3 linked regions of the Rattus norvegicus genome follow. The protein of the gene in region 1 interacts with the protein of each later gene in a biochemical or structural test. Links are inferred from orthologs where the notes say so. Each region holds a gene or a part of one and is shown on either strand. Other genes may lie near its edges. The genes, in order: Txnip, Ptpn11 and Slc2a1.

Region 1 (4,303 bases):
TTTTTCTAGTATGTGACATTGGCTCTGTTGCCCCATGGCACAGAAGTTCATGGTCTGTTCTTTTAATTCCCTTCAAAACAAAACACCTTGGAAAGACCATGCCTGAAGGTCACTTAGACCCCGACTCAAAAAAATAACAACTTCTTCATTTCCAACATCTGGGAAAGTGGGCCAGGTCTGAATGTTTTGAGCGTTCCGACATTCACCCAGCAAACACTCCTATATCACGGTGCGGGCACTGGTCTGCACCCCTTGAGGCTGGAGACTTGCCTACTGATTGCCACCCATCTGTGGAGTCAGAGGCGGGGGTGTACCCACTCCCCACTGGAGAGACTGAGTCTCTGAAACATTGGAGTTCAAGCAGAGAGGCAGAAAGCGTTGAGTAGTACAGATGAGTCGTCCCTGAAGGCTCACTGCACGTTGTTGTTGTTGTTGTTAAGGACGCAGGGATCCACCTAGGGGGAAGAGCGAGGAGACTTTCAGATTTTTTAGGTAAGTAGAAAACCCACACGAATCCCTTCCCTCAGAAGGCCTAGGACAAAATCTTGACCCTTAAAAAAAAGTAGTGACTCTCACCTCAGTGTAAGTGGGCGGAGGCATGAACTGGAACTCGGGGGCGTACATAAAGATAGGGCTGTCTTGAGAATCATCCACATCATCTAGCAGGGGGGTGGTGGGGCTCTCCAGTCTGTGATCTTCAGGAATCACGTCCATATAGCAAGGTGGAGCTGAAAAAGAGAAAACGGGGTCAGAAGTCCAGCTAAGAAACTCCCAGGCCACCCCAACTCCACAAGCCCAAGCAGGTCAAAACGAAGAGTTTATTAGCTGAAGCTTACCTTCTGGGGTGTCTGGGATGTTTAGGTCTATCCAGCTCATTTCAGAGCTTGTCCGGCTAGCCATGCTGGATGTCCGGCTGCTTAGGCCCGACCTGCTGCCAATCACTAGGGGCAGATCGAGGATGACTTTCTTGGAGCCAGGGACACTAACATAGATCTAGGAAGGAAGGTGGGAGTTTGTTAGATGGGTTGTGTTAGAGGAGGCACTGACTTTGCACCCAAGCAACTATTTCTCTTCCCTCCTCACTCACCAGCAAGGAGTATTCAACTCTGAGGATGTTGCAGCCCAGAATGGACGGTCTGATCTTCTGCACTCGGAGACTCTTGCCACGCCATGATGCGCAAGTCCCTGAGATAATGTGATTGCCTCTGACTGAGGACAGCTTCTGAGTGAGCACTTTGGTCTGGCCATTGGCAAGGTAAGTGTGCCGGGCCACAATAGCTGCTTTGGGGACCACGATTCGGGAACATGTGTTCTCAAAGTCAGCGTGGATGGAAATGTCATCACCTAGAGTTGAAGAGGAGGAAGGAAGAATATCCATTAAATTTAACAGCATTTCCTCCGCCTTTATCCCACAACCCCCTCCAAACCCCACAGCTGTGGCTATCCTATCTGGTATTATAAGCACTGGGCTTTTACCTTCACAGAATCCTTTTCTGTCGATTCGAGCGGAGACTGACACGCGTCCATCAGGAATGAACATGCAGGAAACTTTCTTCTCCTTTTTGGCAGACACTGGTGCCTGTGAAGAAGGAAATAATGTTTTGAGCTATTTCAATGCCTCATGCATCTAATTCATTATCTCTGACCAAGGAGAATAAAACCTTAAAGAAAATAAAAGAAAAAAGCCTCACCATTAAGTCAGGAGTATTGACGTCCACTAGATCCATCACTTCAAAGTTTTTCTTTGCCTCTTGAGTTGGCTGGCTGGGACGATCGAGAAAAGCCTTCACCCAGTAGTCTACACAGCCATATTTCCCTTTGAAGGATGTTCCCAGGGGCCTGTGTCAAAACAATGAACAAAAATTAATGCTAAGAAATGTGAAATATCAATGGAGGGGGAAGACTTAGAAATAAAGAGTCCATGGTGCGGTCGGTGATGCCTACCCTTGAGGAAGCTCAAAGCCGAACTTGTACTCATATTTGTTTCCTGGTCTCATGATCACCATCTCGTTCTCACCTGCGGGGAAACAAAGGCAAGGGGCCATTAGACTTCTTGTTACATTCCAAATGCAGCATCAGTGAGGAGTGCCTGGGCAGCAGACTGTCTTACTTCCACACTTTCATCTCTCACACTAAGGAATAAGATTCCCCGGGACAGAAAGTTGCACAACCCACGAATACATTAATCTTTACGTAGCTAAGGCAACACCTTCAGGAAACAGCACCCCAGAAACTGTTCCAATTACTATGGGGGGTGGAGGAGGGTAGCGGAATAACTTGCAAATTAAAAGGTAAAAATATAGGGGCCAACAGCTCAAACCATTCAAACGATCGACTCGAAACATTTAGTGGAGGCCCCACCCCCAGCCCCATAAGTCACTATCCGTCCTGCCAAGAGCTGTACCTGTAGGCTGGTCTTCTAGGAGAAGGGTGTCTTCATAGCGCAAGTAGTCCAAGGTCTGTTTGCACTGCTGAGACCCTTGCATCCACAGGACCTTGGCCACACCGCAAGCCAGGATCCTGACGGCTTTGACTCGGGTAACTTCACACACTTCCACTGTCACCCGGCCGGCCACCTTCTCCCCGCTGCCATACACCTTCTCAGGGTCGTTGAAGACCACCTCAAAAGACTTGATCTTCTTGAACATCACCATGATTGAGCCGAGTGGGTTCAAGAAAAACGGAAGCCGGAGAGGAAAAACTCTTCAGAATCCTTCTCAGCAAACTAAGAACTTAAGTCTCTCCGTGAGGCAGAGAGGGCTTAAAAACCCAAAGAAAGCCTCAAACAAAACCTTAACAACTTCTCTAAAAGGTGCCTGAAAGTTTCAACCAGCTGGTTGTGCCAAAAGCTTTCAGGAGAAAAATAACAGCTGTTTTCTCGCAACTGGAGGAACTCTGGATATCCAAAGACCAGAAGAGGAGAGTGTCAAGCGGGAGCCGGAAACGGCATTATATAGCCGCCTGGCTTGACGCTCCACGCGAGTGCTGGCCCGGAGGCTCGTGCATCCCTCGTGCACAGTTCTCCCATTGGCTACTTGGTCCTTGTTTACCAGGCCTCTAACCAATCAGCGAGGCCGCAGAGGCGCGTGGACACAGTGTGCTCTTAGCGGGGAAAATGGTTGTTGTTCGGGTGCGCAGCCTTGCCAGGGAGGAGGGGCGGGGCCTGGGGCAGCGGGTGGCTCCCTCGGGAGTCTGGGACCCCGAGACCCTGAACCTCATCCAGGGTACTCCTCTCGGGAGCTGGGTTGTTTGGGTGTGTGCTTTGTTGGTTTTTTTCCCCTTCTTTTTTTAGGTAAAAGAAAAATGTGCTTAGGAGAGGATTTCATGCCTGTCTTAGCCAGCGCAATTCATTTCGACGTGACCATTTATTCCTGGCTCACAAGTTCGCAAGTCTGTGAAAAACAATCCCCAAGGATACTTCAGGATGGAGCGGAGGGCGAGAGTGCAGTTGTGTTAGTGAGAAAGAGCCTACCCGATGTGCTCCCATTACACTTCTATTGAATAAAACGCTTCCATCTCCCGGGGGCGGGGGACTTGTCAGATATTTTAAGTCTGGCTTAAAGTCCTTATTGGTACATGGTCTGGTGTGTACCCCTTCGTTCCATGCCCTATGTGCTGCTATTGTTCCTCGCCCATTACGTTCTATTCTGTTCTGTTCTCTGGAACGGAAGCAGTAAGGGAGTGTCCACATCCTGTTGCTTATCCCCTCATCTCTTCAGTGTACCTGTGAGGTTGGGGAACATTTTGTATATGTTCCCTTATTTACCTCACTGTAGCTTTAGTGAGGTGTGTACCTTTACACTGATCTCTCCCTTCGTCCCTGCTCCTCCAGGAAACAAGGGGTGGGTACAAACAAACAAACAGGGGGGAAGAAAAAGGAAGAAAACGATCTGTCACTCCTTACTTTGTTCCCGAGTTCCTGTCACTCTTTTTTTTTTTCCCCATTTGTCCTCTCATCAAAATCACTAAATGAAATGCATACCCCTCAGCCTGTTTCAGTCTCCCCAGGGCTGAAGCTGTATTGGTTTCACTTGGCTATTTGGCAAACCTTGCTGAGAAATGCTTCAGGAGCTGACTAGAGAAATAACTTGAGTGCAAAGAAACTCTTGTATGTTGAAGGACTACCCACCACTCCCTGACACCCCAGGGCCCCTACCCTATTCCTCACCCACCTCCTCCCACCTCCACCCCGCCAGAGCCTTGTCATTGAGTCCTAGCCTCCTTCCATATTTGGGCAGAATTATTAGGCGTTTATCTATCGCCTTTTTCCTTGCCCTGGAATATAAAGACAGTAGCCCCGAGA
Region 2 (3,645 bases), on another chromosome or scaffold:
AATGAGCAAGGAGAGAAAGACAGACATACCAGAGGACACACGGGTCAGCAGCATATAAGCACATAGGGCCACAGACAGGCTCACACACAGACAGGGCTCAGGACTGAAGTCAGCCCCTTAACCTTCCTGCTGCCATCGTGTGAACTCATAGCCAGGGCCCTTCTCCTGGCCTCACTCAGAGCACTGAAGCTGTGGTTTGTCTGAAGCCCCTGGGATGGCAGAGGAATTCTAGCCTTGTTTTCCTGGGGTCCTGCCAGTGGTCTGAACCAAAAAGTAAATGGAGCTGCTGGCTCACCTGTCTGAGACCAGCTGCCAACCCTTCCCAGAAACACAATGCCCTTCTGCTTCAGAGAAATCACCTCAGCAACCTGCTGCACACACAGCAAAGGAAGCCAGGCCCAGCACAAGGGTCCCCCTCACCCACTCAAACATCACCTAACAGTGCACGTAAAAACAAGGTGTCAGTAACTTACCTCAAATTCTTCCCAAAAGCCCTGTTTGACTTTATCTGTGGTCTCGGCTAGCTTGCTTAACTCCCGAACCCGGCTTTCGATTTCAGCGGCATTAATACGAGTTGTGTTGAGGGGCTGTTAAGTTCAGCAGTGGTGGAAAAGGGGAAAAAGCATGTTTTAAACAGTATTGATGCAGAAAGAAAGACTTCACAAAAGCGAAGGCGGGAGGTACATCATCCCAAATGTGTGCATGTGCTTGTGCGTGTGTGTATGGTGGTTGTGGTCGCTGAAGTAGATCAGGGCCCCTTCCTGTCTGTCTCTCAGCCACACGGTAATCCCCATGCACCGAGTGTGTTCCCACCATGGTAAACATGCCAGCACAGGCCCAAAGCAACAGGGTCAAGTGGCTGTAGGACCCCTTGAGCCCTCTCCCCTATTAACCAGCCCTCGTGTATCTTGTCATGATGACGCAAGTCGACTAGAACACGCATGTGGGAGACTCCATGGTAGAACTCTCTCAACCCTGAGGAGAAGCAGCTTCCGTTTCCTAACCTGTTTGAGCTGCAGGACTGTGCCCAGTGTCTCCACCATGGGGTTCTTCTTGTAATGCTCCACCAGGTCTGTCAAAGAGTCAAAGCGCTCTCCTCCACCAACATCATATTTCAGCTCCTTTCAAGACCAAACAGATGGCGCCCATTAGCTCAGCTAGGTTACTGTCTTCCACCAACTGCAGCCACCGCGCGCAGTGACACGAGCCTATACACAGAAACAAGCCACACGGCTATCTAGAGAGCACGATGAGAACAAGGCACACACGTACCATGCTAACATACCGTGCTAACATACTTCGCGCCCACGTCATCACAGTGGAGCCACACTTGCCTTTGACAAGAGAACCCTGTCATCGGTAGCAAGTGGATAAGGCAGGAGAGCCTCCTAGTAACTCTAATAAGCCAAGTGCGAAAGGAACACACGATGTCCCCTCATTACATGTAGCATCCAAGGAAGAAAAAGTCCGACACAGTGACAAGAGATCAGTGACTGTGAAGGACTTAGGGACAGAGGAAAGTACTGGTGACACGGTCACGCAGACGCTCAGGAGCCTCAGATGACTACAGTGCTCCACACACTGGAGACTGGATGGGAGGGCGGCAGAAGCATTCTGCAGTGACGGGTACACTGACTCAGCCGACTCGGAACCCTGAACTGTGTCAACTGAAGCCCAGAGACTGACTCCCAGACAGGAAGCAGCGGTGCTGAGGAAGCAGGTGAGGCAGGGGACTGCGGCTCAGTGGTGGAACAGGTGCTAGGTTCCATCCCAGCACCAAAGACAACAGATGACATAAAATGTAATTAAATCAAAATCAGATGTAATGGGCTGGAGAGATGGCCCAGCGGTTAAGAGCACTGACTGCTCTTCCAGAGGTTCTGAGTTCAATTCCCAGCAACCACATGGTGGCTCACAGCCATCTGTAATGGGATCTTCTGGTGTGTCTGAAGACAGCTACAGTGTACTCACATAAATAAAATAAATTAATTTTAAAAAAATACTAACGTTAAAAAAAAAAATCAAATGTAAACTCTATCATGATGAACACACTTCCCATCACCGCCAGGTTCCTCACAGTGCCTCAGCCTGGCATCACTGCTCCCGTGATGTCACGTATGCAGCTGTGATGCTGTACTCTAGGGAATGTGACAAGGAAGAAGTCTGCATGTGTTCAGATAGACACAGGATGCTTTTCTGAAGTCTGCTGACCCCAGGGATGCACTCACAGACCTGGGAGGGCCAAGTGCACAGTGTCACCAGTCAGTAGGCTTCAGGACAGCCATGGATACATACAGTCTATCTCAGAAAAACAAAAAAGCCAACAGAAAAACACAGAACAAAAAAGGAAAAAAACAAGAGTGCTTCAAAATGGTGAGATGCACACAGGATGTGCATGAGCGAGCACAGAAGGACAGTTGCAAGTGCTGAGGTCTCGTCCTCTCAGCAGAAGCCCCCAGTGCAGCCGCAGTGGGCCCACAGTCCCCATGGCGCCCTACCTGACAGCGGATCATGACATGGGTCACTTTGGACTTGCTGTCATTGCTCTCCCCTTTGTCATCACCAGTGCGGACGGAGAGGACGAAGTCCCCAGGGTGGCTCTGGCTCTCCCGGACGAGGAAACTGCCATGCTTCCCCTTCTCTGTCAGCAGCTTCTCTGCTTCTTTTCCAGACAAGTGACCGTGGAACCACCTGTGTGCATGTTTGAAGGAACAAGCAGAGTTCGGCTGCAGGATGCGGCATGCTCACCCTCACTCAGCTCTCCCCAGCACAGGCCCTTGGCTAACAGCTTCCTCTAGGGGGCAGAGTGTCTGACAGACAGAATCTACACCTCAGACAGGAAAAATGACAAAGATATGTTAAAAATGACAACCAAAGTCCAGTTTTCTTTTTTAAGGCAGTCTCACTATGTGACCCAGGTTGGTCTGGAGCTGTAGATCGTCCTGCCTCAGGCTCCTAAGCTGATATTGTAAGCACTGCCATCACTCCTGGCCTCCTCTCAATCACTGGAAAATAATGCCCACCAGACGGTGATGGTATGTATACACCCTGAATCCGAGCACTGGGGAGGCAGAGGCAGGTGGGTCTGAGTGCTAGACCAGCTTGGTCTTCAGAGTGAATTCTAGGACAGCCAGAGCTACATGGAGAGACCCTGTCACAAAACAAAACAAACAAGACCCCCTATATCCTCAATGCTTCCTAATTCCTTTTAAATCTCCCATCTTTGAGAGACACAATTTGACTTTTTAGTCCCTGACCCTAATGAACCAGCTGTGTGTTACAGCCATTTAGGGAAGTAAGGATGTGACAAGCCTAGTTGTGGTGGTGCACACTTACATTTCGTGTGCACCGGCTAGTTTTATGTCTACCTCATAGAAGCTACTGTCATTTGGGAAGAGACATCCTCAACTGAGAAAATGTCCCTACCAGACTGGTCTGTGGGCTCGCCTACTGCGCATTCCCTTAATGATGACTGATGGGGGAGGGCCCGTCACTGTTGGTAATGCCACCCTTTGGCTGGTGGTCCTGGGTGCTACGAGAAAGCAGGCTGAGCAAACCAAGAGGGCAGACCCGCAAACAGCACTCCTTCCTGGCCTCGGCTTCAGCTCTTGCTTCCAGGGTCCTGCCTAGAGCTCCTGCCCTGAC
Region 3 (3,645 bases), on another chromosome or scaffold:
CCGAACACCTGGACAAAGAAACTAGGACTGTGAGTGCCCTGCCCTGGCCCTACTCCAGCATCCACCCCAGCCACCAAGCGGGCCTTCCCTGCCCACCAGCTGCTGGGCGAGAGGGAAGGACCTCTCTGACCCCATTCTCGAATCTGCAAAACCAGCTCAAATTATACAAGACAAGGGAAGGGCTGGAGAGATGGCTCAGCAGTTAAGAGACCCGACTGCTCTTCCAGAGGTCCTGAGTTCAATTCCCAGCAACCACATGGTGGCTCTCAACCATCTGTAAAGAGATCTGATGCCCTCTTCTGGTGTGTCTGAAGACAGCTACAGTGTGTTTATATATAATAAATGAATAAATCTAAAAAAAAAAAAAAAAAAAAAAAGACAAGGGATAAAGCCACGTATAAATGTGTCTGCACACATGTGGGGGTTGCTACTCTGGCTGTAGGACTAAAGGGTGGGTGGAGGGACCTCTAGAAGAGGAATACCCTACCCATGAAGGCTTCTAGGCCTGGAAGCCCAAATGAAGGCCAAGGGCTCTAGCTGTAGGCGGGTGGGCCTGGGGCTCCTGTGTGCTCTGGGATCTGCCTACCGTGAGGCTGTCCTAGGCAGGGTTGGGTAGAAAAGCTCTGCTCGACTGTGACCCGAGGGACAAAGCTGTGCCAGAGGCAGTGCTGGTCAGGTAGACCCAGACTGGCTTACCTGGGCAATAAGGATCCCAACGACGATGCCCAGCTGGTGCAGGGTGCCCAGGGCTCCACGAAGAGCTGTGGGTGACACCTCCCCCACATACATGGGCACAAAGCCGGTGGTCAGGCCACAGTACACTCCAATGATGAAGCGGCCCAGGATCAGCATCTCAAAGGACTTGCCCAGTTTGGAGAAACCCATAAGCACGGCAGACACAAAGGCCAACAGGTTCATCATCAGCATGGAGTTCCGCCTGGGGATGGGTCGCAGGTTAGCCAGCTCCCAGGACCCCAGGACCCCAGGCTCCCCAGGGATGAGGCCATAGTCAGGGATGTTTCTATTACCAGCTTCCCCCAGAGCTCCCCATGCAGAACGACATGGGCTGGCGTCTTTCCTGCTTACCTGCCAAAGCGATTAACAAAGAGGCCCACAGAGAAGGAACCAATCATGCCCCCGACAGAGAAGATGGCCACGGAGAGAGACCAGAGTGTGGTGAGTGTGGTGGATGGGATGGACTCTCCATAGCGGTGGTTCCATGTTTGATTGTAGAACTCCTCAATTACCTGCAGGGAGAAGAGCCTGGGTAGGTGTGGCCACCTCACCACAGATGCCAGAACTTGGCTCTGCTGCAAACTACTGTGTTCTCCAGCCAGCTCTCTTCTTTGTATAGGTTCAGTGTCCTCCTCGGCTCTCTTCCTAAGTTGTTCAAGACTCTCTGGGGAAGATGGCCAAGGATGACAGCTGGCTTTGGGCACAGAGCAGGAAGGTACAGGAAAAGAAATGCTTCTGCCCAACTGGCCCCTTTCAGATGGCTCCCTGCACACTCTAGGCCACAGCTGTATGTAGGCCCTGGGCCCTATCCCAACCCCCTGCCAGGGAGGAAGGGCAGCTGGACAGACAGGTTATGCCATTCTTGAGCCTGTAGGAAGTGTACACTCACTGACTCTGCATTTTGAGCCTGCAGGACTAAGGGACACGCTCCAAGGCACACTGTCACTTCTGTCTCCCAGGCCCAGCTCCCCTGTGGCTGGCTGGAAACGCCACCTGAAGGAACCAAGGCCTCCTTTCCTTTCCAGGTGCTCATCTGGGATGTTCAGGGAAAGGCCCTAGGCAAGAAAGTGGTTCCAGGAACTGGAGAATCTGTCCTGGTGTGGGCTTGCTCATAAGCCCTGCCCCCACAGAGGGCCTAACCTAGTGCCAAGGATATGGCCATGGGCAGGTGGCACTGGTTCTGACACACTCACCACTGTCAGGCAACACTGACAACACCCAGTGCCACAGGCCTAGCCGGACCCACCCAGCGCATATGCAGCCACAGACAGGCCCAAGTACACACAGGGAAACAACTTTCTGGTCCACACCCTGACGTGACCCAGCATAGCTTGCATTTCACTTCACTTTTTTTCTTTCTTTCTTTGAAACAGGGTCTCAGGAGCTCATAGCAACCCTCCTGCCTCAGCCTGTTGAATGTTAGGATCATAGATGTGAGTGGCTGGGCTTGGATCACATGTACCCATAAGGCTCCCGGTTTCGGCCAGCCACAGCCCCTCCTCCACCATCACTTGTAGCGTACCCAATCCCCACACTGACACAGGTGTACACTGCATGCCCCTGTGCATGGAACAGCACGTGGTCTGCACAGCCACTCGGTATCCAGTCCTGGTTCTAAACCTCAAGTATGGCAGAAAGGAAGGAGTGCAGAAAGGAAAGCAGTAAAAGTGTGTGGAAGTGGGGCAGCCGAGGTCGGTTGCCCTGGTCCTGGGCCCTAGTCCCTCCTCCTCTTTACCCCTGCTCTGTCACAATGGTTTGTGGGTCAAGTCCAGAGACAGAGCAAGCCAGGCTCGATTGGGAAAAGGCAGCCTAAGCACATACTGTATACAGAGTAAGCACCTGCTGTACACAGGGAAGCCAGGCAGCACAGGGATCAGAAGCTGGTTCTGAATGGGAATGCAGTCGAGTTCTCATCCCAGCTCACTCCTTTGCTCCGGGCTACTGTGGGCATGGTGAGCAGCTGTGAGCTCCAACCTCCTCCTTCTCTAACACCGACTTCGGCATTGCGGTCATGCATCACTTAAACGGGGCCCACTCTCTGAAATGTGTTATTAGAGTGCATTTGGAATAAAACTAAATGGTGTGGGTCATTCAGGGTTCTTGATGCAATTAAGGGATGGCAAACATGAGATACCCCAGGATGCTGCCCTGTGTTTAGGGTGTTTTAGGGCAGGCTGTTCTAGTCTGTAGAAGGAACTCACTGTAAAATTATGATTAAAAAAATAAACCCAATAAACTAATGATAGCTACCTACTTCTGTTACCATTTATAATTTTTGAAAATTTTGTTCTAAAGTCTATGTGTTTATCTGTATGTGGGTATGCGCACCTGAGTGCTGGTGCTCATGTGGGCCAGAAGGGGGCGTCAGATTCCCCCAGGGCTGGAGGTATAGGAAGTTGGCAGCTGTCTAAACCTGCACGAGCAATCTGTCTTCTGCACTGCTGAGCAGTCCCTCCAGCCCCTATTGTCATATATGGTATTGTTACTTGAACATGACCGTGTGCTAGACATGTTTCTGTCATAGTGAAGACTAAAACTTGGGGTCCTGGGTACACTAGGCAAGGGCTCTAGTGCTTGCCTGTTTAGCCCCGTGCTAAACTTTAATGACTGGCAGCACAGTGGGTACATTTACAGACCCATGAGTAACGCTGTTATGCCAATGTTGCTGGATCACAGAGCTACTCTTTTCTACCTGGCTTTGTTTTGCGGTGCTGGGGATAAGCTCAGGGCCCTGCACATATTGGTCACATGTTCTACCACTGAGCTACTCTCCAGCTGTTACAGCATGGCCAGTCTGCACACACTGTCACGGAAAGGTCTTTATGTGTGGCACACACTGCTTCCTCTACAGTGCCAGAAGAAACTGAGGAAACACACTTATGGTACCTACACCACATGGTACTGGCCCCA

What was found.
Region 2: the proteins of Txnip (region 1) and Ptpn11 are reported together in a solved structure, tested with the Homo sapiens proteins (2 studies listed by BioGRID, with this or other methods). The link is inferred for Rattus norvegicus from reciprocal best matches to the Homo sapiens genes TXNIP and PTPN11.
Region 3: the proteins of Txnip (region 1) and Slc2a1 form a complex in vitro, tested with the Homo sapiens proteins (2 studies listed by BioGRID). The link is inferred for Rattus norvegicus from reciprocal best matches to the Homo sapiens genes TXNIP and SLC2A1.

What each region holds. Positions count from the first base shown.
Region 1 is NC_086020.1:186,780,474-186,784,776, reverse strand, and holds the start of Txnip (thioredoxin-interacting protein), read right to left. Parts: upstream 2,845-4,303; 5' UTR 2,655-2,844; coding exon 2,405-2,654; intron 2,018-2,404; coding exon 1,945-2,017; intron 1,840-1,944; coding exon 1,692-1,839; intron 1,580-1,691; coding exon 1,477-1,579; intron 1,345-1,476; coding exon 1,088-1,344; intron 994-1,087; coding exon 837-993; intron 729-836; coding exon 577-728; intron 456-576; coding exon 411-455; 3' UTR 1-410. UniProt on the Homo sapiens protein: May act as an oxidative stress mediator by inhibiting thioredoxin activity or by limiting its bioavailability.
Region 2 is NC_086030.1:41,049,964-41,053,608, reverse strand, and holds part of Ptpn11 (tyrosine-protein phosphatase non-receptor type 11), read right to left. Parts: intron 2,692-3,645; coding exon 2,499-2,691; intron 1,122-2,498; coding exon 1,005-1,121; intron 588-1,004; coding exon 474-587; intron 1-473. UniProt on the Homo sapiens protein: Acts downstream of various receptor and cytoplasmic protein tyrosine kinases to participate in the signal transduction from the cell surface to the nucleus. Positively regulates MAPK signal transduction pathway. Dephosphorylates GAB1, ARHGAP35 and EGFR.
Region 3 is NC_086023.1:138,022,981-138,026,625, reverse strand, and holds part of Slc2a1 (solute carrier family 2, facilitated glucose transporter member 1), read right to left. Parts: intron 1,248-3,645; coding exon 1,087-1,247; intron 938-1,086; coding exon 697-937; intron 9-696; coding exon 1-8. UniProt on the Homo sapiens protein: Facilitative glucose transporter, which is responsible for constitutive or basal glucose uptake. Has a very broad substrate specificity; can transport a wide range of aldoses including both pentoses and hexoses.